Coturnix japonica: one gene and its partners. The protein of the gene in region 6 purifies or fractionates together with the protein of the main gene of each other region. This does not show direct contact. Links are inferred from orthologs where the notes say so. Each region holds a gene or a part of one and is shown on either strand. Other genes may lie near its edges. The genes, in order: NOC4L, RRP12, DHX57, UPF1, PURA, LIN28A and NCBP1.

Region 1 (3,500 bases), on a different chromosome or scaffold from region 6:
GGCTGATCTGTTTTTGTCTTCATCGTAAGTAGAACCTTCAGTATATATGTACCTTTCAGTATATACGTACATACATTTTGCTGCTACTTTTCAGTTGGCCAGAGTCCATTCTTCAACAGTCTCCCGTGTCTGGATTTAATGTAGTCATTGTGCTCGCTGAATTAAGTTTGTTTTCTTATTGAGAAAACTGAATCTAAGAGTGTTACTGCAGTGCTGTAATTCTTCATGTGATGTCTCTGAAGATGCGCCACGCATCTGTCTGGTTTCACAGACTAAAACTGCAGTTCATTATCTGAGTTTGATCGGCAAATCATTATGGATGTATTTTGATCTGTATTCCAGTTTGGCTGAAAGTGATGATTTTTCTCTCCATCTTTATGAATATGGAAAAGGAACATTTGCAGGCTTTTTATAGACGCAGTATCATAAATCTGTTGATAAATTGATGACCTTTTTGCAGACGTGTAATATTGAAATATAAAGCATTTGACGCTCTGTCTTGATGCTGTCAATTCATCATGCCCAGGGAATAAACTAGATATGCAGCTGGTCATAGAGTTGCCATAATGTGTTGTAAAATAAACTAAGAGTAATGCTCAGCGCGTGATATTTAATATCACCCCCCTGGTGCTCATAGTGTTCTCTGGAGAGAGTAACAAGACATGGCAGATGGTTGTACCTTGGGGTGGTTTGGCTGAGCCTTGCAGGTGTAGGGAGCCCTGGGGCTGTGGGATGAGTGGCTGGAAATTGTCATCTCATCCCAGCTCTGCTGACCTGAAGAATGTATCTACACGAGCTGATTGCTGTTAAAAACCTGCATTTCTACCATAAAAGAGAACTATTCTGCACATTTACGTGACAGCAGCTTTATGTTCCCATTACAAGCTGCACCGCTTGCTCTAGTCCTGCAAGTATTACATAAATTTAACACCATGGCACGTGTATTAATTAAACCCACAGAACTACATTAGAAAAATATAATTAAGGTTGCCTGGCCGAATACTCAGAAGTTTATAAAATGACTGAATAAAGACAGCAGTGTGAATGGCCGTGTACAAGAGCTGTGCTTGGCTACAGCAAGTGTCTGGAGTAGTGCCCTGTGTCTGGGTTCAATCACAAACTGATGTGAGATTATTCATGCACTGAATGGAAATGCCCCAAAATTTGTTCCAGACAGCACACAAGACCCCACGTAACTGCTTGAAATCACAATTCATAGCTGTACGATTCCTTTTCATTTCATAGTCCAAAAAGCTGAGGAATCCCACTGGTCCTTAGCCTGACATGCTGGTTGGGTTGATGTCTGCTGGTTCACTTGCTGGAACTCTTGACATTCTGGTGTCTTCTTCCTTCCCCACAGTCACTTGCCAGCGTACCTGGTGGCAGCATTCATAAAGCGCCTGTCCCGGCTGGCCCTCACTGCTCCTCCCGAGGCTCTGCTCATGGTCATTCCTTTCATCTGTAATCTCTTTCGGAGGCACCCGGCCTGCAAAGTGCTGATGCACAGACCTAATGGACCACAAGGTAAGAGGGAAAGGCGGGGACTTCTGTGTTACACCTTTAGGCAGCATGAAGAGCAGGATCCCTGGAGAGATCCTGGCCCCAGATCCTGAGTGTGTTGGTTGCTCTGGGTCCCTGGGTTCCCTCTGGTGTCATGGACACTGCAGGAGGTCTTAGCTCTGTGTCTCTTCCCTTAGATTTGTCAGAAGATCCGTATATTATGGAGCAGGAGGAGCCATCTGAGAGCAGGGCTTTGGAGAGCTCGCTCTGGGAGCTTCAGGTATGTCATCTAACAAGGCACATCTGTGTATGGTAGGTACAGCCTTCTCCCACCCTTGCTGCTTACATGACACAACTTGGCAGCCAGCACTATCACTTCCATGAACCTTCTGACAGACACGTCTTGCAAATGAGATGAATTTCTGGCTCTTCACATCATTTTCTATCCTTAGTGTAAGAGGCAGAGGATTTTAAACACATGAGAACTAGTGCCTGCTAATTAGCACGAGTCTTGTGAGTGCACATCTGGCCATGCAGCTGGAAAGTGGGCTGTTAAGAGCTGAAAGAGTAAATAGTGGCAAATGTATGGGGCTTTCTACTTGCTTTGGAGGGGAGAGAAGAGCATGCTGAGCATTGATGGAACTTGAGTACAGATGGGTCATCCTGTAGAAATGACTTCTAAAATGATGAAGATTGCAGTGTTCACTCTTAACATGGAACATTCATAGGATGGTGTATGAAAGCTGAAATTAGTTGAGTTGCTCCTGGTGACCTTAGTGGCAGGATTATCACTTCCCATTTAAACACCGCAAGGATTTTGTGCAAGGTGGGTGTTGCAGGAGAGAGCGGGAGCTCAGATGCAGCAGTGGGGCTCTGGGAGGTGGCAGAGTTGAGGTGTGTGCTGCAGTAGCTACAGCCAGTGGAGGAATCCATCTGTCTTGGGCTGAATGTGAACCTGGTGGAAGGGTGCTTTAATTATGTCTTAAATGTGGCTAATGCTTCAAGACATACAGATTTTACTGTATGTCTTTAAGCTGTGTAATAACGCAGTACAGCAGACTTGCCTCCTTTGCCAGAATTAATGTTCGTAACCAAGGGGTTTGTTAGGATACCTGTGCATAAAGCCAGGTGGATGTGTGTTACCGTGTGCTCATTAAACTTTCTCCTCTTTATCTTGCAGTCTCTACAAAACCATTATTACCCAGATGTGGCCCAGGCAGCTGCTATCCTCAATCAGTCGCTGTCTGAAATAGAGGATGACATATCAGGGCTCTTGGAGCTCTCAGCTTCTGAGGTAGTATTGCTGTGCTTTTGGGAATGACTATAACAAGAGGAAGGGAGACTGCTTCCTGACTGCAACAGCACTGTCCTGTTGATCAGCCTTGCTGCTGGGGAAGGAGCTAGGTGGACTTTTGGTTGCTTACAGCCAAGGGGAAAATGTCTGTTAAATGGTGGAGCATTTGGCAGCGGTAGCGGCAGGACTGTATTGCATTTAAAAGGTTTACTGTATATTTTATTGTGTTAGGGTGAGTGTTGGTATCAGCCACAGTAAGGGGATTGTACTGAATTTTGTCAATATTTTCTCTTTTTGTAGCTTTTTGATAAAGAAATAAAGAAAACATCTGCTAAAGTGCCGCTGGAGTTCGTGCAAGCGCGAGGTTTGTTTGGGAAGAAAAACGATATCCTTGCAGAGCACTTTGCTTTAGATTGATGCCATCTCTTAAAAACACATCTGCACAGCTGACGGACCTTCAGGACCTGCACCAAACTCACATGTTTTGCTGGACAATTCTGCCTTTGAAATATCTCTTTAAGAGGTGAAAACTGGACTGCCTTCTGAAGGAGCAGCCCTCTTCAGGGACCTTTTCCAGTATCCACATACAGACTTTTTTTCTTTGTGAATGATGTTTTGGAGGGGTTTTCCCTCACAGTATTGTTTTCTGGATTTGTTCACTGTTGGGATCTTGGCCCTTCTTTCCAAAGCTGCTGGTGCTGGCTGA
Region 2 (4,014 bases), on a different chromosome or scaffold from region 6:
GGAAATGAGGCACCAGGGGTTGAGTGCTGAGAACGGTGACTGAGAACAGGAGTGAAACTGGCTTTTAGCTGCGCACCCACGAGAAAAGAGTGCTGGGATTTGCCTCCAGCTACCAGCCCTGCCTGGGGGCAATAGCATGGTGCCTGCTGCCGAGCAAACACCCAAGGTCTGACTGCAGGACTAATGATTAACATCTCCCCTTGACTCCGTGCCATCCCTTGGGGTTCATCCCCTGCAGGGAAAGCACGGCATGGCCTCGGTCCAGCTCCTGTCACCGATGCTGCAACCGGAGAGCGAAGGGCAGCGTGGGAGGCCCACGGCACAAGGCTCCCCATGCTCCTAGCAGCCCCTTACCTTGCTGATGGCGGTGAAGAAGGGGTGGTCCGACTGCATGGGCGGCGGGGGGATGTCGAAGGAGCGCCTCCAGATCTTCACCTGGGCCTCGCCGTGCTTGGCGGCCGTCTCGGCCTTGTTGAGCCCGGTCAGGGCCCCGTAGTGCCGCTCATTGAGGCGCCACGTCCGCACCACGGGCAGCCACATCTGGTCGATGGCGTCCAGCACGTTCCATAGGGTGCGGATGGCCCGCTTCTGCACCGACGTGAAGCAGATATCGAACTCATAGCCGGCGTCTGAGGACAGCGGGGGTGGGGGGGGGATCAGAGGCCGCTCAGTATCGCGCCGTTACATAACGGGCACGGCCGGTCAGCACCGACACCGAGATGACCGACAGACACCCGTAATGACCGACAGACACCCGTAATGACCGACACCCGTAATGAAATGACCGACACCCGTAATGAAATGACCGACACCCGTAATGGCCGCCGCAGCCCCCCCCACCCGCCGGTACCTCGCAGGGCCTCTCCGCCGCGCCTCGCCTCCTGCTGCCCGGCGGGGCTGAGGTCGGCGTCGTACCAGCCGCAGAAGCGGTTCTCCAGGTTCCACGCGCTCTCGCCGTGTCGGACGAGCACGAGGCGGTACGCGGCCATGGCAGCTGGAGCTCTACAACCACCCCGCTCCTCCCGCTGCCGCCGCCGCACGCAACTGACCCGCCCCACGCCGCCCCGCGCCGGGCAGTGCGAGGCGCGCATGCGCAGCCCGAGGGAGGCGGCGGGCGGCGGAGCACGTAGCGCATGGCGGGGCCGCGAAGGGCGGCGCGACCTTCGGGCGGTGACGTCACCGCGGTGCGGGCGTCGCTGCCCTCACTGCAAATGGCGGCGGGCGCCGGAAGCGGAAGTACGGCGGGAAGGGGCGGCACGTGGAGCCGGGACCGGCATGGCGCGGTGCGGGAGACTGAGGGCAGGAACCGCCGCCAAGGTGCGGCGATGGAGGAAGGGGCACAGCAGCGATTGTAACCCCGAGACACGGCGGCACCGCCTGGCCGCGAGAAGCCGCTTCTACAGCCGGCCGGCCGGTGAGCGGAACGGGACCGGGGGGCGACGTGGGACGTGGAACATGGGGGGGGGCGGCGCAGGGTTGTGAAAGGCCTTAAAGCTCAGCGGGGTCCTGCCGCTCCTGGCTGCCAGTCGCTGCATCGAGGCCCCGGCCGCGATGGGCACACAGTTATATGGGCAGCGCTGCATGGGCCTGCCCCGCTGTGCACTGAGTCACATCCGAACCTCAGTGCCACGCTGCTCCGTGCTAATCCTATGGGAGGAGCGATGTCCGTGTCTCATACCGGGAGCAGAGGGTGGTGGTGATACGGGACAGCCTGACCGTGGGGCTTCTCACCCGGCAGAGAAAAGCAACCTGACGGTGGACGCGGTGAAGCTGCACAATGAGCTGCAGTCAGGATCGCTGTGTGTGGAGCGGCCGAGCGGCAGCTCTCAGCTGCCCATGGAGGAGGGTGATGTCGGCGAGGCCGCCACCGAGAGGTCGTCGGGCACCTTCCTGAGCGGGCTGAGCGACTGCACCAATGTCACCTTCAGCAAAGTGCAGCGCTTCTGGGAGTCCAACTCTGCCGCACACAAAGAGGTACCAGCAGGATCAGGGCTGGCCCTGGGCTCCTGGGGCAACAATCCGAGGATGCTGAGGGCTCTGCTCGCTGTCGTGACAGATCTGTGCCGTGCTGGCAGCTGTGACTGATGTGATTCACTCGCAGGGGGGCAAAGAGACTGAGACTGAGTATTTTGCTGCGCTGGTGAGTGACTGCCGCAGTTTGATGGCGCTCTGCTTGTGTTGGAGGCTTTGAGCATCCTCCGGCAGAGATGCTGTTGAGTTGCCCTTTGTTTCTCTGCCCCCTTCCCCAAAGCTTTGGGAAAGGCTGGTCTGCTGCAAATTCTCCTGCTGCAAACCCCTCCTGTATTCCAGATGACCACGCTGGAGGCGGTGGATTCCCCTGAGTCAGTGGCTGCCGTTGCCTACTTGCTCAACCTTGTCTTGAAGCGGTGAGCAGGGCAGGGAGTGGGGAGGGCTGCCCCGGCAGGATGGGGTCTGGCACAGTCTGAGGGACAGGCTGTGTGTGCGAATCCCTGTGTGACTGCCTGCCATTTAACCCTTTTCCCCACAGAGTCCCCAGCCCGGTACTCATAAAGAAGTTTTCAGATGCTTCAAAAGCCTTCATGAGTATCATATCCTCACAGGCCTGCAGCGGCTCCACCTCTGCACTGCGATGGGTGAGTTGCAGGGAGGGGCAGCCTCTCTGGTGGACTGAGGGTGGTCTCAGTAAGGTAATACCAGTATCCTTGCTGTCCTCTTGTAGGTCCTCTCATGCCTGGCCACTCTGCTACGAAAACAGGATTTGGCAGCCTGGAGCTACCCTGTCACCCTCCAGGTCTACCACGGCTTGCTGAGCTTCTGTGTTCATACCAAACCCAAGGTGGGTTTTCAGCACATGTGGGTGCTGTTCCAGGGCTTGGTTCTGGGGCTGGCTGTGCTCCCTGTGCATATGGTTTCTATGCCCCCATATTCATCCACCCCCAGGTTCGGAAAGCAGCTCAGCACGGTGTGTGCTCAGTCCTGAGGGGGAGCGAGTTCATGTTTGGAGATGAGGCTCCTGAGCACCATCCTGCGGCGCCCTCCAGTGCCAAGTTCTGCGTGCAGGAGATTGAAAAAGCTGGAGGTAGGTAGGGACAGCAGGGAGAAAGGTCTTGCAAGAGTTTAGGAGAGCTTTCAGTCGTCTGTCTGTTCCCTTCTTCCCAGAGTGGGGCTTCAGTTCACCCCAGCTCTGACATGGGGTCTTTGCTCAAGGCTGTTGTTACAAGTATGGGTGCTGCTCTGTTCCACCAGGCACCAAGGAGGCTACCACCACACTGCACGTGCTGGCCCTCCTGCGGGACCTGCTGCCCTGCTTCCCTGCGGCTGTGCTGAAGACGTGCTGCGAGACCCTGCTCAGAGTCATGACCCTCAGCCATGTGGTCAGTTCCCCTGTGTCCTTGCACGTAGTGCTTGTGCCAGTGCCTCCACCTCAGCTCTGGAAGGCATTAGGCTGCTCTGTTGGGAATCTGCAGGACCTGAAATCAGAGCATCCCAGGCAGAGCCGGCTGGCTGGCTGCTGTAGAAGGAGGGGGACATAGATGGGGAGCTCCACTGGAGATGGGGTGTCCCTGTGGGTTGGGTAGAACACTCTTTGGGGTAGGACTGCAAAGCACAGAGGTTTTGTTTCTCCTGACCACATGTCCTTGCAGCTGGTGACAGCGTGTGCCATGCAGGCTTTCCATAGCCTGTTCAGTGCTCAGCCCAGAACGTCCTGCATGCCAGCCGAGCTCAACGCCCAGATCATCACCGTGAGTGCAGGGATGGGTAGGGAGGGATGGGGCTATACTGGCACCACTGTCTTCAGCACCATTTTTCTTCCCTAGGCGCTGTATGACTACGTGCCCAATGCCAACGACCTGCAGCCGCTGCTCACCTGGCTGGCTACCATGGAGAAGGCACACATCAACCTGGGCAGGTGGGGAGAGGCTGGCGCTGGGCTGGGGGGAGACTGAGCTCAATCTCTCACTGTTGTTCTGTCCCTTCTCCAGACTGCAGAAGGACCTGTGCTGGGCTCACCTGCCCCGTCTCTTCTCGGCC
Region 3 (3,500 bases), on a different chromosome or scaffold from region 6:
GGTGCTGTGTTGATATTTTTGCCTGGTCTAGCAGAAATCAAGATGCTTTATGAGCAGCTCCAGTCCAATGCCCTTTTTAATAACAGGCACAGCAAGAGGTAAGGCACAACAGCTCCCAGGTGACGTCTTTACCCATTATAAAAAAAAAAAGAGAGTAGCTTCCAGCATGAAATCTGCCTTTATCAAGGGACAAATACAGTTTATTAAACGTGTGAGTTTGTGATATGACCCAGACAAGAGAATTCCCACTCTGCTGTCTTACTGACTTGCTCTGTTAGATTTTTTCTTGTCGTCTCAGAAGAATGGAAGGTGTTTGTTTTGGTACCTGTTGTAGTTCTCAGAAATCCCAGTGATGAGTTTCTGCACTTTGCACTCTGCGTGGTCCGGTGGACTGTTGGAAGCTTCACCTCAGCTACTGTTCTCTTTCAGAATGTGCCCTCAGAAGCCTTCAGCTGTTACTGTGGTTGTATTTGATCACAGATTGCTACATGGAGGTGTAACTGGATTTCCTTGTCTAAACAGTAGTGACACAGATGCCTTTGACAAGGTTGACTGGAGTGATCTTTTCCAATCTGGCGTTATAAATCAAATGTTCTAGACTGTTCACAGGAGACAGGTTGTTGGTTTTTCAGCTCCATTCTGAGATCTGTTCCCTCTGCAAACTTCTCCACCTTCCCGCAGGGTGTATCTTAAATTTGATGTGGCAGAGAGGTTTGCTGTTTTTTACATGAATTTGAATGTGTGTGTGCACTGTCTGGTACTGGCAGTGCAGAAGTGCATACAGGCAGGCTGTTCCCAGGAGGAAAAAAGCAGAGATGTGCTCAGCATACTCTCCTATTTTTCCCCCAGGTGTGTTGTTTATCCACTTCATTCTTCACTGTCCAGTGAAGAACAGCAGTCTGTGTTCCTCCGGCCTCCTGCGGGAGTTATCAAAATCATCATCTCTACCAACATTGCAGAAACATCTGTCACCATCGACGATGTGGTCTATGTGATTGATTCCGGAAAAATGAAAGAGAAAAGGTACTGGGATTCATTCCTGTTCTGTGCAAAGAGCTGGGAAGAACCTGAAGGAGTTTGATCTGCAGAAAGCTGCTAGGAGAGGGAGAGCCAGTCTGGACCCAGATCCAGCTGCAGGGGTGGGAATCAGGTCCATATAGAGGTTGGCAACATCTGTGTGCTGGAGCTCCAGCTTGTTCACCCTGCACCCGTGAATATAAGCCTATTTCTTGCTCTCCTGCAGATACGACCCAAGCAAAGGAATGGAAAGTCTGGAAGACACGTTTGTGTCCAGGGCCAACGCTCTGCAAAGGAAAGGACGAGCAGGCCGTGTAGCCTCAGGTGTCTGCTTCCATCTTTTCACTAGCCATCACTATAACCATCAGCTCATAAAACAGCAGTTACCAGAAATACAAAGAGTGCCCCTGGAGCAGCTTTGTCTAAGGTGAGCTGTTGTTTCTATATTACCTGAAAGACCCTGTGTAGAGTGTCCTCCCTCCACAGGAGGAAGCATCTGAAATGCCCTTATTAAGGAATTTAGTCCCCCTTAGTAACATCACAAAACCAGTAAACTTGCTTTGGAGGTTTCAGGTTCTCTTGATCTCATTATCACAGTGCCTCTGCATCCAGAGATCTAGTCATACCATGTCTCAGATCTCCCATCTTCTTGCACAGCACTTAGTTCTTATTTAGCACTAGGAAAAAGGCCTCTCATCCCCTGAGAAGATATTTGCATTCCTGTGCTCTGGGCCCACAGGAGATGTTTATCTCTCTATACTATAATCTCCCTTGGAGTTGCTGAGCGACACAGTGCAGTAAGTCCACACTCTGGATCCAACACTGCTGTAACACCAGTACTAAATGAAAGAGACCTTCTTGCTCCTGCCTCACTTGGTGCACCCCTTTATACAAAAAAAGAAACAAAACAAGAGAAAAACATTTTTTCCAGAGAAAACTTCATTTTAAAATGAAGTGTGATAAGTAAGAATCTGTTCTTCCTGGCTGTGATGCTGGATGGAGGTCACCCATCCTCATATGGCTTCCTGAGTTTAATCACTCTTTACAGAGCCTCTTCGAGGGGCTGTGTTCTTGAAAGCAGGTTTGTGGTGTTTTGATAAATGCTCTCTGTGACATCCTGTCTGTGGAACTAAGCTGCCTTCTTTTGCTTTCAATTGTTTTTTGTCCCCTCCTTCAGAATTAAGATTCTGGACATGTTTTCTGCACAGAGCCTTCACTCTGTCTTATCACGACTAATTGAGCCCCCTAGAACTGAGTCTTTGCGGGCATCAAAGCTGCGTCTGCAAGACTTAGGAGCGTTAACTGCAGATGAAAAGCTCACTCCTTTGGGATATCACTTGGCTTCCCTGCCTGTTGATGTCAGGATTGGCAAACTAATGCTGTTTGGCACCATCTTCCGCTGCCTGGATCCTGCGCTCACAATAGCAGCCAGTCTGGCTTTTAAGTCACCCTTTGTAAGTATTGTTACTTGCATTTCCATCTTTGAAAGCAGTGCATTTTCATACAGCGGTGAATGCTGCTGTAAGCTGCAGCGTGCTGCACCTGAGTGTGTTTATTCTCCTTCTTAGCCTCCCCTGTTTATATGCTTAATGCAGTGCTCATCAGAAGAGTTGTTACAGGTAGATGATGAAAATCATACAGCAACAACACAAATAGTATTTATAAACAAGCATTGAAACAACACAGTTATTACAGTTAATGAACATTAAGTGCAGCCAGTCTGTTTTGTCCAGATTTAGTGTAAAAATTGAAAGCAAACATAAGCAGCAGTTCCACTGTGAGATTAATCTGTCCCTGCCTTTCCAGGTGTCCCCATGGGATAAAAGGGAAGAAGCAAACAAAAAGAAGTTGGACTTTGCAGTAGGAAACAGTGACTATCTGGCTCTGCTCCAGGCTTATAAGGTGAGCTAAAAATGATTAGCCTCTGTCAGAGGTTTGTGATGTATCACAGCTTGAAGTTCAGTACTTCAAAGTTTGCTCTTGTCTTTTCAATTAGGGATGGCGTTTAAGTACCAAAGAGGGCCCTCAGGCAAGCTACAACTACTGCAGGGAGAACTTCTTATCAGGAAGAGTTCTTCAGGTAAGTCAGTTTTTGTGGCCTCATGCAGGGACTGGTTGAGGACACCGAGGTGGAGTTCTGGTGCCTAAACTGAGCGAGCTGTTGGTGCTGTTACCTCAGTGGGTCTCCCATCACAGACCTTTCTCTTTTTTTGTAGGAAATTGCCAGTCTGAAAAGACAGTTCACAGAGCTGCTTTCTGACATTGGGTTTGTGAAGGAGGGGTTAAGAGCCAGGGACATTGAGAGGAAGTGGTCCCAAGCAGGCGATGGCGTCTTGGATGCCACAGGAGAAGAGGTAACTTGCAGCATGTCGATGCTTTGACCAAATGCTGCAGCTTTTGATGGGGCCAGAAAGCCAGCTGTTAGCTCTGCCGGGCTTCTGGATGCAGCCTTGCAACAAACCACCTCCTACCTATAGTTTTTC
Region 4 (3,500 bases), on a different chromosome or scaffold from region 6:
ATGACCCCAGGCGTCTTAATGTGGCTCTTACAAGAGCAAGGTAAGGTGAAATTGAACAGATTTCGTTTTAGAAACGAGCTACTAAGGGCTGTGTTCTGTGGGTGGTAAACCCGTTCCTCTGCCTGGTTTGAGTGAGCCTTGAAGGGAATATGGAAATCATTCAATCTTAAATCAGTCAGCGTTACTGTTTTGTATTGGAAGTGTGCAGAATCCAGCATGCTCTTCCTCTTTGCCTTCAGGACAGAAGTCATCTTCCCTTCACTCACTCTTTTCTGTCTTAGCAGCCATAGTTACAGTTTTTCTTTCCTTAGAATGAGTTTGATTGTCAATTCTTCCATAGGTATGGGGTAATTATTGTTGGGAACCCAAAAGCTCTGTCTAAACAACCGCTTTGGAATCACCTGCTGAATTACTACAAGGAGCAGAAGGTTCTGGTGGAGGGACCACTGAATAACCTCCGGGAGAGCCTCATGCAATTCAGCAAGCCCCGAAAACTTGTCAATACTATCAACCCAGTAAGTTGGCCTTTCCCGTTCCTCAGATACCTGTGGTGTGAAGTAACTGGGCATTGATAATCATAAATTGATGGAATAAACAGGCACCCATGTGTCCTCACAGCTGTATCTTTCCACTTCTTGCCTAGTAAATGGGCAGTGGCAAAGTAAGCTGCGGTTTCTAAGTGGAGCAGCTTGTCTTTATTCACTGTAAAACTGTACAATGGGATAACTTCTGAGATGCATGAAACATGTAATAATTACTTTGTGTAGATTTAGCAAGCTCATTATACAATTGTTCTGTAAGGTTTTTACGTTGAGAATTGTAAGCGTGTGGTTGGGATGACAGCTGGATGTTTTTCATGTATTAGAAACATTATCTGTGATGGTTTCTCTGAGTTTTTACTTGCCTTACAGTCAGGTTGCAGTGTACAGCTCGGTGCTAAACCTTTGTCCAACTCCTTCAATTCTTTCAGGGTGCCCGTTTCATGACCACTGCCATGTATGATGCACGTGAAGCTATTATTCCAGGATCTGTCTATGACCGGAGCAGTCAAGGTAAAGAAGCTTCCAGCATTAACACCATTCACTAGTCTTCTGCAGTGTCTCATAGACTGCAAATGTTTAAATGCTTGAGGAGATGCTACAGAAAAATGTGGGTGTTAAAAACTGAAAATGCTTCTGATGTCTGAATACTTAAGGAGGATTTTGCTGTCCTTAACGTTGCAGTAACCTGTGTGGTTTAACTGCATATCTGCAGAGCAGGTGAAGAGGAAGGGGGTGTGTGTGTCAGTGTTGTGGGAATCATGAACAGCGCTATAGAAGAGTGATTGGATGGGGTGACCACGTTATGTCTCTTTGAGCCTTGGAAGTGTGGAATAAATAGGGAAGTAGAAATCCCAGAGGTTCTTGGCAGTGTTAGGCTTGTCCTTTCAGTTTCTGGTTTCTGATTATGTTATTTTTCCTGCTTGAAGTCCTTCCGTTACCATTAAAAGCAGGAATATGAATCTCAGATTATTCAGGATGCTTGAAATCACTGTGACTTTCTCCCTCTCCAGGGCGCCCATCCAACATGTACTTCCAAACCCACGACCAGATCGGGATGATCAGCGCAGGCCCCAGCCACGTCACTGCTATGAACATTCCTATCCCCTTCAACCTCGTGATGCCCCCAATGCCACCTCCGGGGTACTTTGGGCAGGCCAACGGCCCGGCTGCAGGTATGGGGCTGGGGAGGGCAGTGCCAAAGCCATGGTGTGAGTCTGATGTGAGATAATGGTTTTGGTCCTGATGAGAGTAAGATGTGATTTGATAATAAGCCTGTTGTATTTCTTTGCACCTTCTACATTGAGTACAACATGAAATGTTGCTTTAAGTGAGTCAACAAGTCATTATAGAAGCATCTGATTTTCACACGCTTGTAAAGCTTCTCACTGTTGGTTTGGATAAATGCCTTTCCAGGACGTGGGGCACCCAAAGGGAAGACTGGACGTGGTGGGCGCCAGAAAAATCGATTTGGGATTCCTGGAGCGAGTCAGTCAAACCTTCCCAATAGCCAGGCGAGCCAAGACGTGGTGTCCCAGCCTTTCTCCCAGGGTCCACTGACTCAGGGGTATATCTCCATGAGTCAGCCATCTCAGATGAGTCAGCCTGGGCTCTCCCAACCAGAATTATCACAGGTAAGGAGAGCGATGTACAGTCCTGCCCTTTTTCCTGGGTTTTATGTTAGTGTTTTGTTTGTGTGCACATCTCCATTCCTTAGAACTGAGGACGGTAGAAACTAAACCATCTTAAGTTAATTTGGCCCCAGCATTTCTGACCTTCTACTTGGTGGGCTTCATTAAGTATAAAGAATTCAGTGCTGCATGTTCCAACCTCACTTTGAGCCTTAACCTTCAGCTGCCACGTACTGCTAAAAGCTGTATGGCATCGGGGGTGAACTTTAAAAGCGAAAACAAAACAAAAAGTCACTTTTTCTTTACCAGTGGCTGCTCTGTGAGGAACCACTGGAGCTCGATGCTGCTTAACACACACTCTCGTTTCCAGGACAGTTACCTTGGTGATGAGTTCAAGTCTCAGATTGACGTGGCGCTGTCACAGGACTCCACCTACCAGGGGGAACGCGCGTATCAACATGGCGGAGTGACGGGACTGTCACAGTATTAGAGTGTAAGGCTCTGAGGTCCCCCCTCTGCTGCTACTCCCCAGTGTGAGCACTAGAGAACTGTTTCTCTCCTGACAGCCCTAATGCAGCTCTTGTTTTGTTTTTTTTGCTTTCTCGCTTTCAGGTTGAGGAAGAAGAGCTAAGCTTGCGTGGAGCTTAGTTCATCAGCATTTTATTCTGGGTAATAAAAAAAATAAAATAAAATGGATACCTGTTTTCCACTGCTAAAACTGAAGCACCACTGTGTGAGAGCAACAGGAGAAAGAAACCAACCAACGGAGAGAAGAGAGAGAGAAAGAGAGAAAGGAGCGCGCGCGAGAGAGCCCACTGCTAGCTCACTGAGACAAGGAGACCGACCGGAGAGGAGAGAGAGCAACGACGGACTGGCTGGCGCCTCACGGGGAAGGCAACTCACCCTGCAATGAGTGGTCAGCCGAGTCCCTGCTCCCCCAGTCCAAGAAGCTCGAGAGAAGGGCCTTAAGCAGGTTTCACTTCATTCCATACTTCTCTTTGCGAGCGGGGCATTACTTTTCAGAGCAGATGGGGAGAGGAAAACCCTCATCTCAGAGTTGTTCTCATTTTCAAGGGGTACTATATTTTAGCAGTAACTGTTTACATTTTAGAAGCAGAGTATCTGAGAAGGGAGTTCTTAAGTTGACAGCAGGCCGAGCAGAAATCCAATGGAACGTAGCTGATGCTCAACTCTGAGATGGAGGTTTTGTTGTCCAGCGCTGGCTCTGAAATCCTGGTGTCATCGTGCCGCCCACATTCTGAATGGGTCTTTCGTGACAAGGTGGTTTTAAAGAGATTCTTTCAAAGGAGCACTGAATTTTTAGAAGTTT
Region 5 (4,235 bases), on a different chromosome or scaffold from region 6:
GCAGCGGTTCTGCCCCGTCGGGTTCCGGCAGCGCCGCCGTGGGGGGAAAGGAGCCCCGGGAGCGTTCGTGGCGAGACAGATTTCCACGGCAAGACGCGAAGCGCTCCGCCCGCAGCGGGACTCGGCTCCCCGGTGAGCCCCGCTCCGTGGGCCGGGAGCCCGGAGAACGGCCGTCCCGTTCCGCTCGGGGTGACCGAGGGACGCTCTCCGCGTCTCAGCCGCGGCGAGGGGCGGCCGCCCGGTTCCCTCCAGCCGGGCTCGTCCTTTCGATGGTTTCCGAACAAAGGCTCCTCGCAGCCGCCCGGATCGAACCGCGATTCTTCACGATAAAGAATCACACGGCGGCACCGGGCCGGCAGCGGGGCCCGACTGCGGACGTGCGCCAGGCCACGGCCGTGCCCGCCCGCTCCGCCGCCCGTTGGGGCCGGGGCCGCTGCCGTCGCGCGTCCCCTTTGGCGGCGTCGCACTGAGACGGGTGGGCCCGAGGGGTCGGAACCGCGTGTCCCGCTCCAGCCGCCCCCGACGGGACGATAGAGGGAACTTGAGGGAACCGGGGCTGGTGGGAGGGACCCGGGTCGGAAGCGGGGAGAGGTTCGTCCGGAGGGCGGCGCGGTACCGTATAGTGCGGTATGGTACGGTATAGTACGGTATAGTACGGTATAGTACGGTATGGTACGGTATAGTACGGTATGGTACGGTATAGTACGGTATAGTACGGTATAGTACGGTATGGTACGGTATAGAACTGTATAGTACGGTATAGCACTGTATAGCACGGTATAGCACGGCATAGCACGGTACGGTACGGTATAGCACGGTACGGTACGGTACGGTATAGCACGGTACGGTACGGTATAGCACGGTATAGCACGGTACGGTACGGTATAGCACGTTATAGTACCGTATAGCACGGTATAGCACGGTACGGTACGGTATAGCACGGTATAGCACGGTATAGCACGGCGCGGCACAGCGTCACTCCGCACGGCACCGCACGGCATAGCACCTCGTATCACGGCACAGCCCTCCATAGCACTCTATAGCCCTCCATAGCGCTTGGTATCACGGCACAGCGCGGCCCCGCCCGCCCGTCCCGCTCGGTGCCGTCCGCTCCCGCTCGGTTCCGTGTCGCGGTTCGGCCGCCGGTCGGCGCGGCGCTGCTTCCCGCTCTCGGTTCGGCCGGCTCTGGGGGCCGCTCTCTGCCGCCTCCCGCGCCCTCTCCTCGCTCCCGCAGATCTCGCGAGAGCGGCCGGCTGGTGGCCGCGGGGGCTGTTGCAGCGGCGGCGGAGCGGCGGGCGGAGCGGCGGCGGCGCGGGCGGCGGCCGGGGCGGCCGAGGCGGCGGCGCGGGCGGCAGCGCGGGGGGCGGAGGGCGGCATGAGCGGCGGAGCGGCGGCCGAGGCGGCGCTGCCGGGCGGCGGCGGCGGCGGCGGCGGGCGGAGCGGCGGCATCATGGCGGACAGAGACAGCGGCAGCGAGCAGGGCGGCGGCGGCGGCGGCGGCGGCGGCGGCGGCGGGGGCGCGGCGGGCGGCGGGGGGCCGGGCTCGGGCTCGGGCTCGGGCGGCGGCGGCGGCGGCGGCGGCGGCGGGCCGGGCGGCGGGCTGCAGCACGAGACGCAGGAGCTGGCCTCCAAGAGGGTGGACATCCAGAAAAAGCGATTTTATCTGGACGTGAAGCAGAGCTCCCGGGGCCGCTTCCTGAAGATCGCAGAGGTGGGCGCCGGCGGCAACAAGAGCCGCCTGACGCTGTCCATGTCCGTGGCCGTGGAGTTCCGCGACTACCTGGGCGACTTCATCGAGCACTACGCGCAGCTGGGGCCCAGCCAGCCCCCAGAGCTGGCGCAGGCGGCCGACGAGCCGCGCCGGGCGCTCAAGAGCGAGTTCCTGGTGCGGGAGAACCGCAAGTATTACATGGATCTGAAGGAGAACCAGCGCGGCCGCTTCCTGCGCGTCCGCCAGACCGTGAACCGCGGCCCGGGGCTGGGCGCCGCGCAGGGCCAGACCATCGCGCTGCCGGCGCAGGGCCTGATCGAGTTCCGCGACGCGCTGGCCAAGCTCATCGACGACTACGGCGTGGAGGAGGAGCCGGCCGAGCTGCCCGAGGGCACCTCCTTGACTGTGGACAACAAGCGCTTCTTCTTCGACGTGGGCTCCAACAAGTACGGCGTCTTCATGCGGGTGAGCGAGGTGAAGCCCACCTACCGCAACTCCATCACCGTCCCCTACAAGGTCTGGGCCAAGTTCGGCCACACCTTCTGCAAGTACTCGGACGAGATGAAGAAGATCCAGGAGAAGCAGCGGGACAAGCGCGCCGCCGCCGCCGCCGCCCCCGCGGGCTCCGGGGCCGGGCCCGAGCCGCCGCCCGAGGCCGAGGGCAGCGCAGCCGCCGCCGCAGCCGCCGCCTCCGGTCCGCCCGGCGCCCTGCTGCAGCCCGACGAGCCCGACGAGGACTGACCGCCCGCCGGCCGCCCCGCCCGGCGCCGGGGCCGCGGACTCGGACTGCTCTCGGCCGCGCGGGCGGCAGGCGGCGGCCCGCGGCCGTTCCCGGGCGGCACCCCCGGAGCACCCCCCGCCCGGCAGCCTCCACCGAGCGACAGCAACGCCTCCGACCCGCCACCCATCGCTGGATGTCCCTCCACTTTTCCCACCGTATCAAACAGTAAGCAGCTGCTAAAACAAACAAACAAACAAACAAACAAAAAGTCAAAAAAAAGTAATAACATTATATATGAACTGTGTTTCCTACTTGATTAAAAATATAAAGAACTGAGTGTTTATTTCCCTAATTAACCGAGAACTTTTGTACACGTTTAAGCTATTATTATTAAAAGTGTTTGCAAAAATGGTCAAGATTATAATATTGCTGAATTATATAAAAAGTCCTTTTCATGTTGAGCTAACATTTGACTTTAGCACAAAAAGAAAAAAAAAAAAAGAGATATTTTAGAACACGTAAAATAATATTTTTAGTTTTTTCTTCTCATTTTGTTACCAAATTTCGAACCTTACATGGAGGTTACTATAGTATATTTGACACCCTATATACCTGTGATTAGAGATGTGTATATATATATGAGGGCTAGGCATGCTGTGTGTCTGAGCTTTGTCTAAATGTTATGCAGAAGTTTGTAGAGTTACAAGGTACGTAGGTTTAATTCATGCAAGGTAAACAATAAGTGCTCTCTTTTATACGATATGCATTGCATCTGGACCTTCGACATATAAAAATGGTCAGTGAAACTTCTGTGAACATGAAGAAAAATTATTAAAAAAGGCATTTAAATGAAATTTGCAAACTTGTGATTTTTACGTTGGAACCAAAGTTACTCAAATAGGAAAAATTAAAAAAAAAAAAGAAAGAAAGAAAGAAAAAGAGAGAGAGAGAAAAGTGAAGGGTTTCCTCCCGTAATATTTTTCTGCACCTGTTTGGTTTACAGCTCCGTAGGCGTATTGTCATTGTTGTGTATATGAGATGTTCATGTATTGTTCATAATCCGTTGTTTTTATTCTTATTCTGTGTACTTTGGGCACTCAGACGCTGCGCGGTGCGGGGCCGGCCGGCCGGTGCTGCCCGGTGCTGCGGGTCGTGCATTGCCGTGCATTGCCGTGCATTACCGTGCATTGCATTGCCGTGCATTGCCGTGCCATGCATTGCCGTGCATTGCCGTGCCGTGCATTGCCGTGCCATGCATTGCCGTGCATTGCCGTGCCGTGCATTGCCGTGCATTACCGTGCATTACCGTGCATTGCCGTGCCGTTCCGTGCCGCCGCGCCCCGCCAGCCCCGCGCCCGGGCCGAGCTCCGAACCGAGATGATTTGTAATAATAGATTTTTACAGGTGGATTTTTGTTTTCTTTTTCCTATTTTATTTTTTTTCTTTTTTAAAGTTGATGTGCTTTTCATTGACTAACTTCTTGCTGCTGTATAGTAAAATATTAATATATTTTTATCATTAAACTGCTGCATGACTATCATCGTGACGAGTGAAGAGAAGGTGTTACAAAACAAAAGATGCCTTAAGCAGTACAACTGGTACAACTGTAGTCGTTGGCCGGAGCTCTGGGGCGCAGGGGGAGAGCGGAGCTCGGTGAGAGAAGTTTGTTTTCTGCTGTCTGCTATTCCCATTGCAAACTGTAATCCCTTTCCCCCTCCTCCCTCCCCCTTTGTTTCGGAGATGTACTGTGAGTGTCAAAGCTGTTCCCGTCGTGCCGTGCCCTCCCCGTCGGTGTTCGCAGTT
Region 6 (3,997 bases):
TGGACAACCTATGAGCATCACTGCATTATTAACACCGCAGAGTGCTGGTAGTACTGCTTGTTCTGCCCATCCCCGATGCATGCGGTCATCGAGACTCAACTGGCTGTGGGCACTAGGGCCATGTCCTCACAACCACCGAGTCCATTTCACCTACCTTCCTTCCCTCACTTGCAAAGAGGAAAACCATCTTTGTCCTCCTCCTCTTCTTCCTTCATCCCATAAACTCAGCAGTGAGGGAGCTACGTAGAACTCCCGGGAGTGGAGCGGTCCAGCGGTGAGAGGTGCGAGAGAAGGGTAAGAGGAAGAGAAGGAGAAAGAGAAGGAAGAGGAGGAAGAGGAAGGCGGCAACAGCCGCCGCGCAGAACCCTGGACAGTGCGCACTTCAGCACCACTGACAGCTCCGTAGCGCTCGGGCAGGCGGCGCCCCCCACGCGGGATCCCCCCATGCGGGATTCTCCTAGAGGGACCCCGCATCCTTTCCCCCTTCAGTGGGTGCCCCCACGACATTCAGAATGCTCAGCCTCCGTACACTGCCCCTTTCCCGCGCATTAAGGCCACGCATGATGTGGTCCCGCGTGGAGAGGCGGCTCTCAGCGTGGACGATGCCACATCCACCTCCCGTGGAAGCGTCGAGGAGGGGGGAAGGGGGCGGCCGAAGAGCTCGGACAGCCCACGCACCGCCCGCACCGCGCGGGGCCGCGGAGGCTGCGGGAGGCGCTGTGCCCCCGCGGGGCGGGGAGGCCGCGGGCAGTGTCCTCCCGCCGGAAATGGTGCTGCGGTCACTCGGCCCTTTGTCCCGCCCGGCCCGGGCCCTCTTTCCCCACAGCCACGCGTGGGAGGGACGAAGTCGGGGCCTCGGGGAGATCCCGCGTGCCGCAGTTGGGATGGGGCTGCGGGGAGGTCGAGGTGTCCCCAAAAAACGCTCGCTTTCCCTCAGTAGCCCCTGCAAAGCCCGGACCCACGAGCGACCTGGGCGGCTCTCAGGTGGCGAAATGGCGTTGGGACCCCCCCGAGTTCTGGGTATGGGTATGGGGGGGGTCCCATCTCCTCTTCGCGTCTTCCCCTTGACAGGTGGCCTCGCCCCTCAGTGGGGGGGAGGTCACACCGCCCTCCACCCAAATCCCTCCCGGAATGTGTCGCTATTAGCCGGGGGGAGTGGGGAGGGGGGGGGGTTAATTAGGATCACGTGGGGGCGGGATGGCGGCGCGGGGCTCGGCGTCCCCCAGCCCCTCGGGTGGGTCCCGGCCTGAGTTGGGGGTGAGGGGTGGGGGCAGCGGGGGCTTCTATTGTCTGCGAGAATTTGGGAGCCTTTGAAAAAACCCTCCCGCTCCCTCCCACCCCTATTGTTGGAGTGAAGATGGAGTCAAACCTCTCCCGGCTCCCTCCCGTCGGGGTCTAAGCCGGCCTTTTTTGTTGCTTTTTTTTTTTTTCGTTGTTTTTTTTTTTTTTTTTTGGGCTGATACCCTCAAAGCTGCCCGAGGAGGAGGAGGAGGGAGGAGGCGGTAACAGCCACAACCGCAAGCGAGTGTCGGGATGGGGTCTGTTTCCAACCAGCAGTTTGCAGGTTAAGTTATATTATTGTCGCAGCCCTCCTCGGCTCCGCGATTATTAATAACGGCGGCAGAGCCCGACGGGGGTCTGGGACCCCCCCAGCCCCGCTGATCCCCGCTGTGTCCCGGGCCCGGCGTGAGGGGAATTTTTTCAGCCCAGCCCCGGACTGAGCGCAGGAGCTGAGGGCTGTCGGGCTGGGGTCAGTGGGGAGCAGAGCTCCCGGTGCTGCGGGGAATCCTCATCGCAGCGCGGCGTGCTGGGGCAGGAGGGTCGGGTCGGTGTTTTGGGGGAGTTTTTCCGATTTTTTGTTGTTTTGGTTTTTTTTCCTTTATCCTTTAGTTTTTCTTTAAAAAAAAAAACAAAACCAACAAAACAAAAAATCACCGTCGTTAATTTTTATTTTTATTTTTTTCCTAGTGATGCATTTTGGGCTGCTTTATTTGGATTATTTTTTCAATTATTCTTCTTTTTTATTTTTATTTACGTATTTATTTATTTTTTTTCTTAAACACTTTGGACTGGAGAACGGCCCCAGCGCTCCCACCCCCGCTCTCCCTGCAGTCCCCTGCGATCCCACACGCACACACGTGGGCGCAGCGGATCGCCGCTTTTGGGTCACCGCGGTCATTTTTTTGCCTTTCCCATCCAGCAGGACCCAAACTTGGGCTCTTTCTGTTCCTTCCCTGGGGGCAGAGGGGTGTGGGACCCCCTCCAGCCCCACTCAGGTGCTCGCTGGCTCTCTCCCCAGGTGCGAAGCCGGGCGAGGAGCTGGCTGGAGATTCACCCAAAGCCGAGAATGATTCCCAACCCCTGCATGGCTCCGGCATCTGTAAGTGGTTCAACGTCCGCATGGGCTTCGGCTTCCTCTCCATGACAGCCAAGGGTGGCGCGACGCTGGACTCACCCGTCGATGTCTTCGTGCACCAGGTATGCTGCAGCTGGTTTGGGGTTGGAGGCGGTGGGGTGCAGCCCCAGCATTCTGCCCTTCAGATCTCCGTGCCTCTACTGCCATCCCAAATTGGTGTCCTGGGGGTGATGGGATTCCCCATGTTTGTGAGAGGAGGGCAGAGAAGGGCAGTGCAGCCCTTGGATCGCTCTCCAGGGAGCAACCCCGTAAACTGATCCTTGGGATCATTTAATTTTCTCGTGGTGGTTCACTGGGGAGCTCTTTGGAGGGCTGGGTACAGAGGAGCAGGTGCCCATTCAGTGAAAAAAAGGGGTACATAGGGCACAGCGGGGCAGGGATGCTGCTCACCCCAGGGAGGGAAAGGGGATAGAGCTGTGTTTCCCTCACTGCCTCATATAGGGTGCTCAGTGCCCCATGCAGGGATGCAAGATGGGGCTTTCCCCATCTCATCCTCAAAGGGTGGGGGTTCAGTCCATGCGAGCCCCGGGATGCTCATCCCTGGGAAGCAGGGAAACAAAACCATCAGTACTGTGATGACATGCGCTTGATTCCTCTGCTGTGTTTTGGGGGGCAAAGTCCCACTACAATGTGCCCAGCTCTCTGTCAGCAGGTTAGGGCTGCACTTCATCCTGCATGGCACAAAGCACATGGGGTCACACATGTGCCTCTATGGTTTCCATACCGTAACTGTGGTCTCGTGTCCGGGTTTGACCCGTGCATATCTTGCTGGTGTCCTGCACCAAAGGAAACTGCAGCTTTGGGATTATGGCTACTCAAAGCCACTTCAGAGGTGGGGAACGGATCCAGCCCTAGTGGGGACCGTGTGGAGGGTTTGGGGAAATGGGACTGGGGATGGAGTTTGAACTGGGGTCATGGGGGCATTGCTGGGAGGGAGATACAGTTCAGTGCTGGGTGCTTGGCAACGGGGCTGTGCACTGAACATGGGCTTCTGCTCCTCCAGGGAGAGCAGCAGCTGTTGGGGATGGGAGGCAGTATGAGCACGGGGGATAAGGATGTCTTTGGAGTAAACTCGGATGGTTTTTGTGCATTTGGCTGGAGGCAGGATGGGGATGGAGTGATTGTGCTGGTGATGGATCCTGAGGGCCTCTCAGCCCTCCCTTGGCAACCAGAGGGATAGGGGAGAACCGAACCCCTTCTTTGTAGAAGCCGCTGTGCAGAAGTGATGTTGGATTTGGGTCTGAGGTCTCCAAACCTGCCAGGGAATGCTGAGCTCCAGGTGCTCCCCAGGGGCAGCAAATGGGTCTTTGCATGTCAGTGTTGTGTCAGTGGGGGGGAGCCTCCCTCCCTCCTGCCCCTCTCCTCAGTCTTTATTGCCCCCAGACAGTCTGGTTTCCTGATTGCTCTCGCTCACATTCCTGCAGGAAAAGAGGACGAACAGGGTGTCCTCCTGGCACTCCCCATTTGTTGGAGACCAGAGCAGAGTTTGGTGTGCTTAGAAGGCAGCAAGCACTGGGCACTGGACAATTTAGGGTATGAGGTGGCACTGGGGAGCCCAGAGCAGGTGTGATTCTCACTGCC
Region 7 (4,048 bases), on a different chromosome or scaffold from region 6:
CTGAGCTAGACTGACTGAAGCAGAATCATCTTGGGCCACATATATGTAAGGCTGATCCAAAATTAAGGCCTCCTATATACTCTCAGAAAATACAGCCCACGCAAAGAGCACAATAACACTATTAGAACAACTTATCACCTAAAAAACACTGTTTTTCAGCATTGCCACCAGCATTAGCTACACATTTCACTAATGATGAACAAGAGGCTGCATGACAAGCTAGGGATTAATTCTGGAGCAGTCCTCATAAAATGTATAGAATAGTTTATATCACAGAATCACAGAATGACCCGGGTTGGAAGGGACCTCAAGGATCATGTAGTTCCAACCCCCCTGCCTGGCAGGGCCACCAAACATACGCCTTTACTAGATCAGGTTGCCCAGGGCCCCGTCCAACCTGGTCTTGAACACCTCCAAGGACGGGGCATCCACAACCTCCCTGGGCAGCCTGTTCCAGGGTCTAACCACTCTCCTAGTGAAGAACTTCCCCCTAACATCCAACCTAAATCTTCCCTCTTTCAACTTAAAACCATTTCCCCGAGTCCTGCTATTGTCAGTTTATGCATGTAAGTATCTCATTGCAACTCAACACATTCCATTGAAAACTTATAGCTCCTATTCTCAGGTTCCTGTAGCAAAATAGAAAGCAAGAGTACATATTCGTGCATAGAGCATAAGCCACACCGGCCTTACCTGGTCAGCTCGTCGCTGCGTAGGCCGCTGGTGTCGGGCAGCACCTCGCAGAGCTCTCCACAGGCCTGTCCTCCCGCCCGCTCAGCACACACCGCCCTGCTGATGGTGCCATGCCCTGCCGCCTGCTGCTCCACGTCCCCGCCGTGCTGCGTACCGACGTGCCGATGGATACCACGGCGCTCACGGAACGTCTGCCGGCAGCACCTCCACCACACGGCCGCCCCGCTGCACGGGTAGGCGGCCGGCACCTCTTTGGCCTTGACGAACAGGGAGAACGCCTGCAAGGCAGACGGCCGTTACCACAGGCGGCCGGTTACCACAGGCGGCCGGTTACCACAGGCGGCCGGTTACCACAGGCGGCCGGTTACCACAGGCGGCCTGGAGCCCCAGCGCCCCGTGCCCACCCTACGTACCTTCCTTCTGGCGGAGGCACGCTGTTTCCTAGCGGCGGCCGCCTGAGCCGCAGCGCTGCACCGAGATACAGCCTCCGTCTGCGCCTCGCCCGGCGCCATCTTGCTCCTTCGGCCCCACCCCCGGAAGAGCTGTGGGGCTGAAAGCGGAACTGGAAGTGGAGGCGAGGCCGACGGAAGCGGGCGGGGAAGGAGCGCGGTCGGCTGAGTCCCGCTCGGCGCGGCCCGGTGTGTGCTCGTCACTCAGCGCCATGTCGCGGCGGAGACACAGCGATGATAGCGATGACAGCGATGGTGAGCGATGGGTGCCCCCACGCTTCTCCCTGCGTGGCCCTGTGGTGGGTGGGATGGGTGGGCGGCAGGTGAGAGGCTGGGCGGTTAACGGTGTGGTCGCTGTGTGGAGCAGGGCAGCCCCACAAGAGGCGGAGGACGTCGGAGCCGTCCGAGATCGAGGAGAGGCTCGAGTCGCTCATCTGCAGAGTGGGGGAGAAGGTAGGACACAACGGCGGCCGCGTGGCGCACGGAGCGGGGCTGGTGTACTGCTGTATTCAATGGGCGCTGTTAGACTAAGTGTTGTCTGGTTGATGCTGCAGCATTTCTTTATTTCTTCCTTTATTTTGCCTTCTGTAGAGTAATTCATCCCTGGAGAGCAACTTGGAGGGCCTAGCTGGTGTGTTGGAAGCTGATCTGCCAAATTACAAAAGCAAGATACTAAGAATTCTGTGTACTGTGTACGTATGCAGGCTGGGGGGGACTGAGAGGTGCTTGCTTTCCTTGCATTGGAAACATTGGAGTGTTTGAGGCAATCTGAGCATTCTGTGGTGGTTTTTTAGTTCTCAACTGTTGTTACCTTTCCTACAAACAGAAGAAATAGAAGGGATGAACTCACTGAGTTCTGGGGGTAATTTAAGGAAAATATTTCCTTGCCGTATGTGAACTTGAAATGTATACAAGGCTTCAAGCAGAAGAGAATCAGCACTGTTGCCCAGCAGCAGCAAAAGCACAATGCTGGGTAACACACTGCCCCCCAAAGAAATAGAGGCATTGAACCTGTAGGCTGCCAGTACCTCTTGCTTGTGATGCCTTCCTGTGGCCTGTTCCTCTGCTCTGGGCATGTGGTGGTGCTGATTAATGAGCCCATCCTTGGGAACACAGAGGGGCTGCTGGCAGCACTCCAGTCACTCCCTATAGTGGTAAAATGTATTTGAAAATATAGAGTTAGTCTACAGGTATGCAAAAAAGGTTGAGGAAAGCTAGTTGTTTACAATAGGACCCACCATTTTCTGTTTTTTCCCTACAATCTCCCTAAATCAATTGCTTTGACTGAAGAAACTTAGGATCAAATTTATCAGTGTAAAATGTGTAAATCTTGTGTAGTCTTAAAAGAGCGTTTTGCATCTTTGAATAAATTCTATCACGTTACTTAGCCCCATCTCCAGGACACTTAGAAATTAGAAATAAATAAAAAGCAAATTACTTAAATTAGTTGCAAGTGACATCTGCTTTCCTAAAAGTAATCCTCCCTCCTAGAAAAAGAAACAGTCTGAAAGCATTAACCATGGGAACAACTACAGATTATGTTAATGTTTTTTGTTACTTCCACATGAAACAAGTTTAGCTTACTATAAGCAAATTCTGGGCTGGTATGCTGTTGTTGGTTGGTTTATGATGAATAAGTGCTAACGCTGTGTTTCTCTTTCTGTGTCAGTGCACGTCTGTTACCAGAAAAGCTTACTGTTTACACAACACTAGTTGGGTTGCTGAATGCCAGGAACTACAACTTTGGTGGGGAATTTGTAGAAGCCATGATTCGTCAGCTTAAAGAATGTCTGAAAGTCAATATGTACAATGAAGCTGTGCATTTAGTAAGTGTCTCTTTGTGTTAGATGTTTTCCTCACCTTTTTTCTTTCCTCCCTTTCACCTTTCCATGAGAACTTGGCCTTTCTACATGTATTACAGTCTTTAAATTTCATTGATGCTTGCTTTTATGTAGATAAACTGAGAGGAATTGTATGTTATATGAGGAGTACTTCCTTCCCAAGGGGAGAAAAATCATGTCACAGTTGCAGACTGTGTTTCAAATGTGTATTTCCTCAGTTGCAAGTTAATTTGCAGCCAAGGGAGGTCATTCTGCTCTTGCCAGCCTTTTCTGCAGCAAAGTATAAAAAGTGGATGAAACTCATGCTTTTTGATATTTTGTATTAGTTGCTCTTTTGGCTCCCATGGAAGGGGAAAAAAAGGCTCAGTCTTAAAACTAGTGTTTCATGACTGCTACCAGGCCTGTGTTATTTGTCCCCCAAAGAGGGGTAGTCAGAGAAAGCAGACAATTGTTAGTGCTTTCTCTGAAGCCACTTGCTCAGCTCTCACTTCAGAGATCTTATAAGAGAGAAGACCAGTTGCAAGCTACACTGCTTCTTTTAAAGCCCATTGATGAGGGAAGAAAGAAGAGAACAGTTCCCACTATAACATGTTCCCAAAACTTTTTGTAGTACCCCAAACCTTTTCTACTTAAATTGCCATTTATGCCGGTCTGGATTTCTTGTTAGTATGCCTCCAAATGAATGATGTATTCCTGCCATGAGGAATGTTTTCATTGCCAAGGCTGATTCCTAGCCTTGCTCACCTTTCTGAGACCTGACAATGCAGTCAGCTTTTACATCAGCTTTCCCTTTGTAGCTATCTGTGTTTATGAACAAATAACTATGGAAATTTGTCTCATCTGAAAGACTCTAAATGATGCCATTTCTGGTTCACCTCTGGACTCATGAAGAAGTTGATCAATCCAACTTCAGCATTTAAGAAGGCATTTGTGGGTTTGTTTGTTTGTTTTACACTTGGGGAAGAGAAAATGTGGTTGTTCTATATGTTTTGTTACGTGCTTGCATGCCTTTAAATGCATATTGGTGTTTCCCACCCTGCCATTATTAGGAGTTGTAGTGTTACA

What was found.
Region 1: the proteins of LIN28A (region 6) and NOC4L purify together in Homo sapiens (co-immunoprecipitation; 3 studies listed by BioGRID and IntAct, with this or other methods). This does not show direct contact. The link is inferred for Coturnix japonica from reciprocal best matches to the Homo sapiens genes LIN28A and NOC4L.
Region 2: the proteins of LIN28A (region 6) and RRP12 purify together in Homo sapiens (affinity purification with mass spectrometry; 3 studies listed by BioGRID and IntAct, with this or other methods). This does not show direct contact. The link is inferred for Coturnix japonica from reciprocal best matches to the Homo sapiens genes LIN28A and RRP12.
Region 3: the proteins of LIN28A (region 6) and DHX57 purify together in Homo sapiens (affinity purification with mass spectrometry; 3 studies listed by BioGRID and IntAct, with this or other methods). This does not show direct contact. The link is inferred for Coturnix japonica from reciprocal best matches to the Homo sapiens genes LIN28A and DHX57.
Region 4: the proteins of LIN28A (region 6) and UPF1 purify together in Homo sapiens (affinity purification with mass spectrometry; 3 studies listed by BioGRID and IntAct, with this or other methods). This does not show direct contact. The link is inferred for Coturnix japonica from reciprocal best matches to the Homo sapiens genes LIN28A and UPF1.
Region 5: the proteins of LIN28A (region 6) and PURA purify together in Homo sapiens (affinity purification with mass spectrometry; 3 studies listed by BioGRID and IntAct, with this or other methods). This does not show direct contact. The link is inferred for Coturnix japonica from reciprocal best matches to the Homo sapiens genes LIN28A and PURA.
Region 7: the proteins of LIN28A (region 6) and NCBP1 purify together in Homo sapiens (affinity purification with mass spectrometry; 3 studies listed by BioGRID and IntAct, with this or other methods). This does not show direct contact. The link is inferred for Coturnix japonica from reciprocal best matches to the Homo sapiens genes LIN28A and NCBP1.

Annotation. Positions count from the first base shown.
Region 1 is NC_029530.1:2,106,340-2,109,839, reverse strand, and holds part of NOC4L (nucleolar complex protein 4 homolog), read left to right. Parts: coding exon 1-24; intron 25-1,360; coding exon 1,361-1,524; intron 1,525-1,697; coding exon 1,698-1,780; intron 1,781-2,680; coding exon 2,681-2,794; intron 2,795-3,094; coding exon 3,095-3,211; 3' UTR 3,212-3,500.
Region 2 is NC_029521.1:19,507,112-19,511,125, forward strand, and holds the start of RRP12 (RRP12-like protein), read left to right. Parts: upstream 1-1,214; 5' UTR 1,215-1,275; coding exon 1,276-1,414; intron 1,415-1,738; coding exon 1,739-1,974; intron 1,975-2,056; coding exon 2,057-2,140; intron 2,141-2,310; coding exon 2,311-2,387; intron 2,388-2,509; coding exon 2,510-2,615; intron 2,616-2,701; coding exon 2,702-2,818; intron 2,819-2,922; coding exon 2,923-3,061; intron 3,062-3,228; coding exon 3,229-3,356; intron 3,357-3,626; coding exon 3,627-3,725; intron 3,726-3,800; coding exon 3,801-3,892; intron 3,893-3,965; coding exon 3,966-4,014. Other genes in the region: PGAM1 (phosphoglycerate mutase 1), read right to left, coding at 355-629, 851-1,091.
Region 3 is NC_029518.1:14,410,436-14,413,935, reverse strand, and holds part of DHX57 (putative ATP-dependent RNA helicase DHX57), read left to right. Parts: intron 1-1; coding exon 2-98; intron 99-849; coding exon 850-1,023; intron 1,024-1,243; coding exon 1,244-1,444; intron 1,445-2,194; coding exon 2,195-2,471; intron 2,472-2,823; coding exon 2,824-2,919; intron 2,920-3,013; coding exon 3,014-3,097; intron 3,098-3,233; coding exon 3,234-3,371; intron 3,372-3,500. UniProt on the Homo sapiens protein: Probable ATP-binding RNA helicase.
Region 4 is NC_029543.1:2,798,394-2,801,893, reverse strand, and holds part of UPF1 (regulator of nonsense transcripts 1), read left to right. Parts: coding exon 1-40; intron 41-340; coding exon 341-515; intron 516-970; coding exon 971-1,052; intron 1,053-1,552; coding exon 1,553-1,714; intron 1,715-1,955; coding exon 1,956-2,173; intron 2,174-2,540; coding exon 2,541-2,660; 3' UTR 2,661-2,663; intron 2,664-2,782; 3' UTR 2,783-3,500. UniProt on the Homo sapiens protein: RNA-dependent helicase required for nonsense-mediated decay (NMD) of aberrant mRNAs containing premature stop codons and modulates the expression level of normal mRNAs.
Region 5 is NC_029528.1:15,484,009-15,488,243, forward strand, and holds the start of PURA (transcriptional activator protein Pur-alpha), read left to right. Parts: upstream 1-1,435; 5' UTR 1,436-1,450; coding exon 1,451-2,452; 3' UTR 2,453-2,657; intron 2,658-4,235. Other genes in the region: translation initiation factor IF-2-like, read right to left, coding at 1-1,031. UniProt on the Homo sapiens protein: This is a probable transcription activator that specifically binds the purine-rich single strand of the PUR element located upstream of the MYC gene. May play a role in the initiation of DNA replication and in recombination.
Region 6 is NC_029538.1:209,644-213,640, reverse strand, and holds the start of LIN28A (protein lin-28 homolog A), read left to right. Parts: upstream 1-1,197; coding exon 1,198-1,234; intron 1,235-2,056; coding exon 2,057-2,478; intron 2,479-3,997. UniProt on the Homo sapiens protein: RNA-binding protein that inhibits processing of pre-let-7 miRNAs and regulates translation of mRNAs that control developmental timing, pluripotency and metabolism.
Region 7 is NC_029547.1:62,576,629-62,580,676, reverse strand, and holds the start of NCBP1 (nuclear cap-binding protein subunit 1), read left to right. Parts: upstream 1-1,248; 5' UTR 1,249-1,354; coding exon 1,355-1,397; intron 1,398-1,509; coding exon 1,510-1,595; intron 1,596-1,733; coding exon 1,734-1,834; intron 1,835-2,811; coding exon 2,812-2,968; intron 2,969-4,048. Other genes in the region: TSTD2 (thiosulfate sulfurtransferase/rhodanese-like domain-containing protein 2), read right to left, coding at 694-971, 1,107-1,205. UniProt on the Homo sapiens protein: Component of the cap-binding complex (CBC), which binds cotranscriptionally to the 5'-cap of pre-mRNAs and is involved in various processes such as pre-mRNA splicing, translation regulation, nonsense-mediated mRNA decay, RNA-mediated gene silencing (RNAi) by microRNAs (miRNAs) and mRNA export.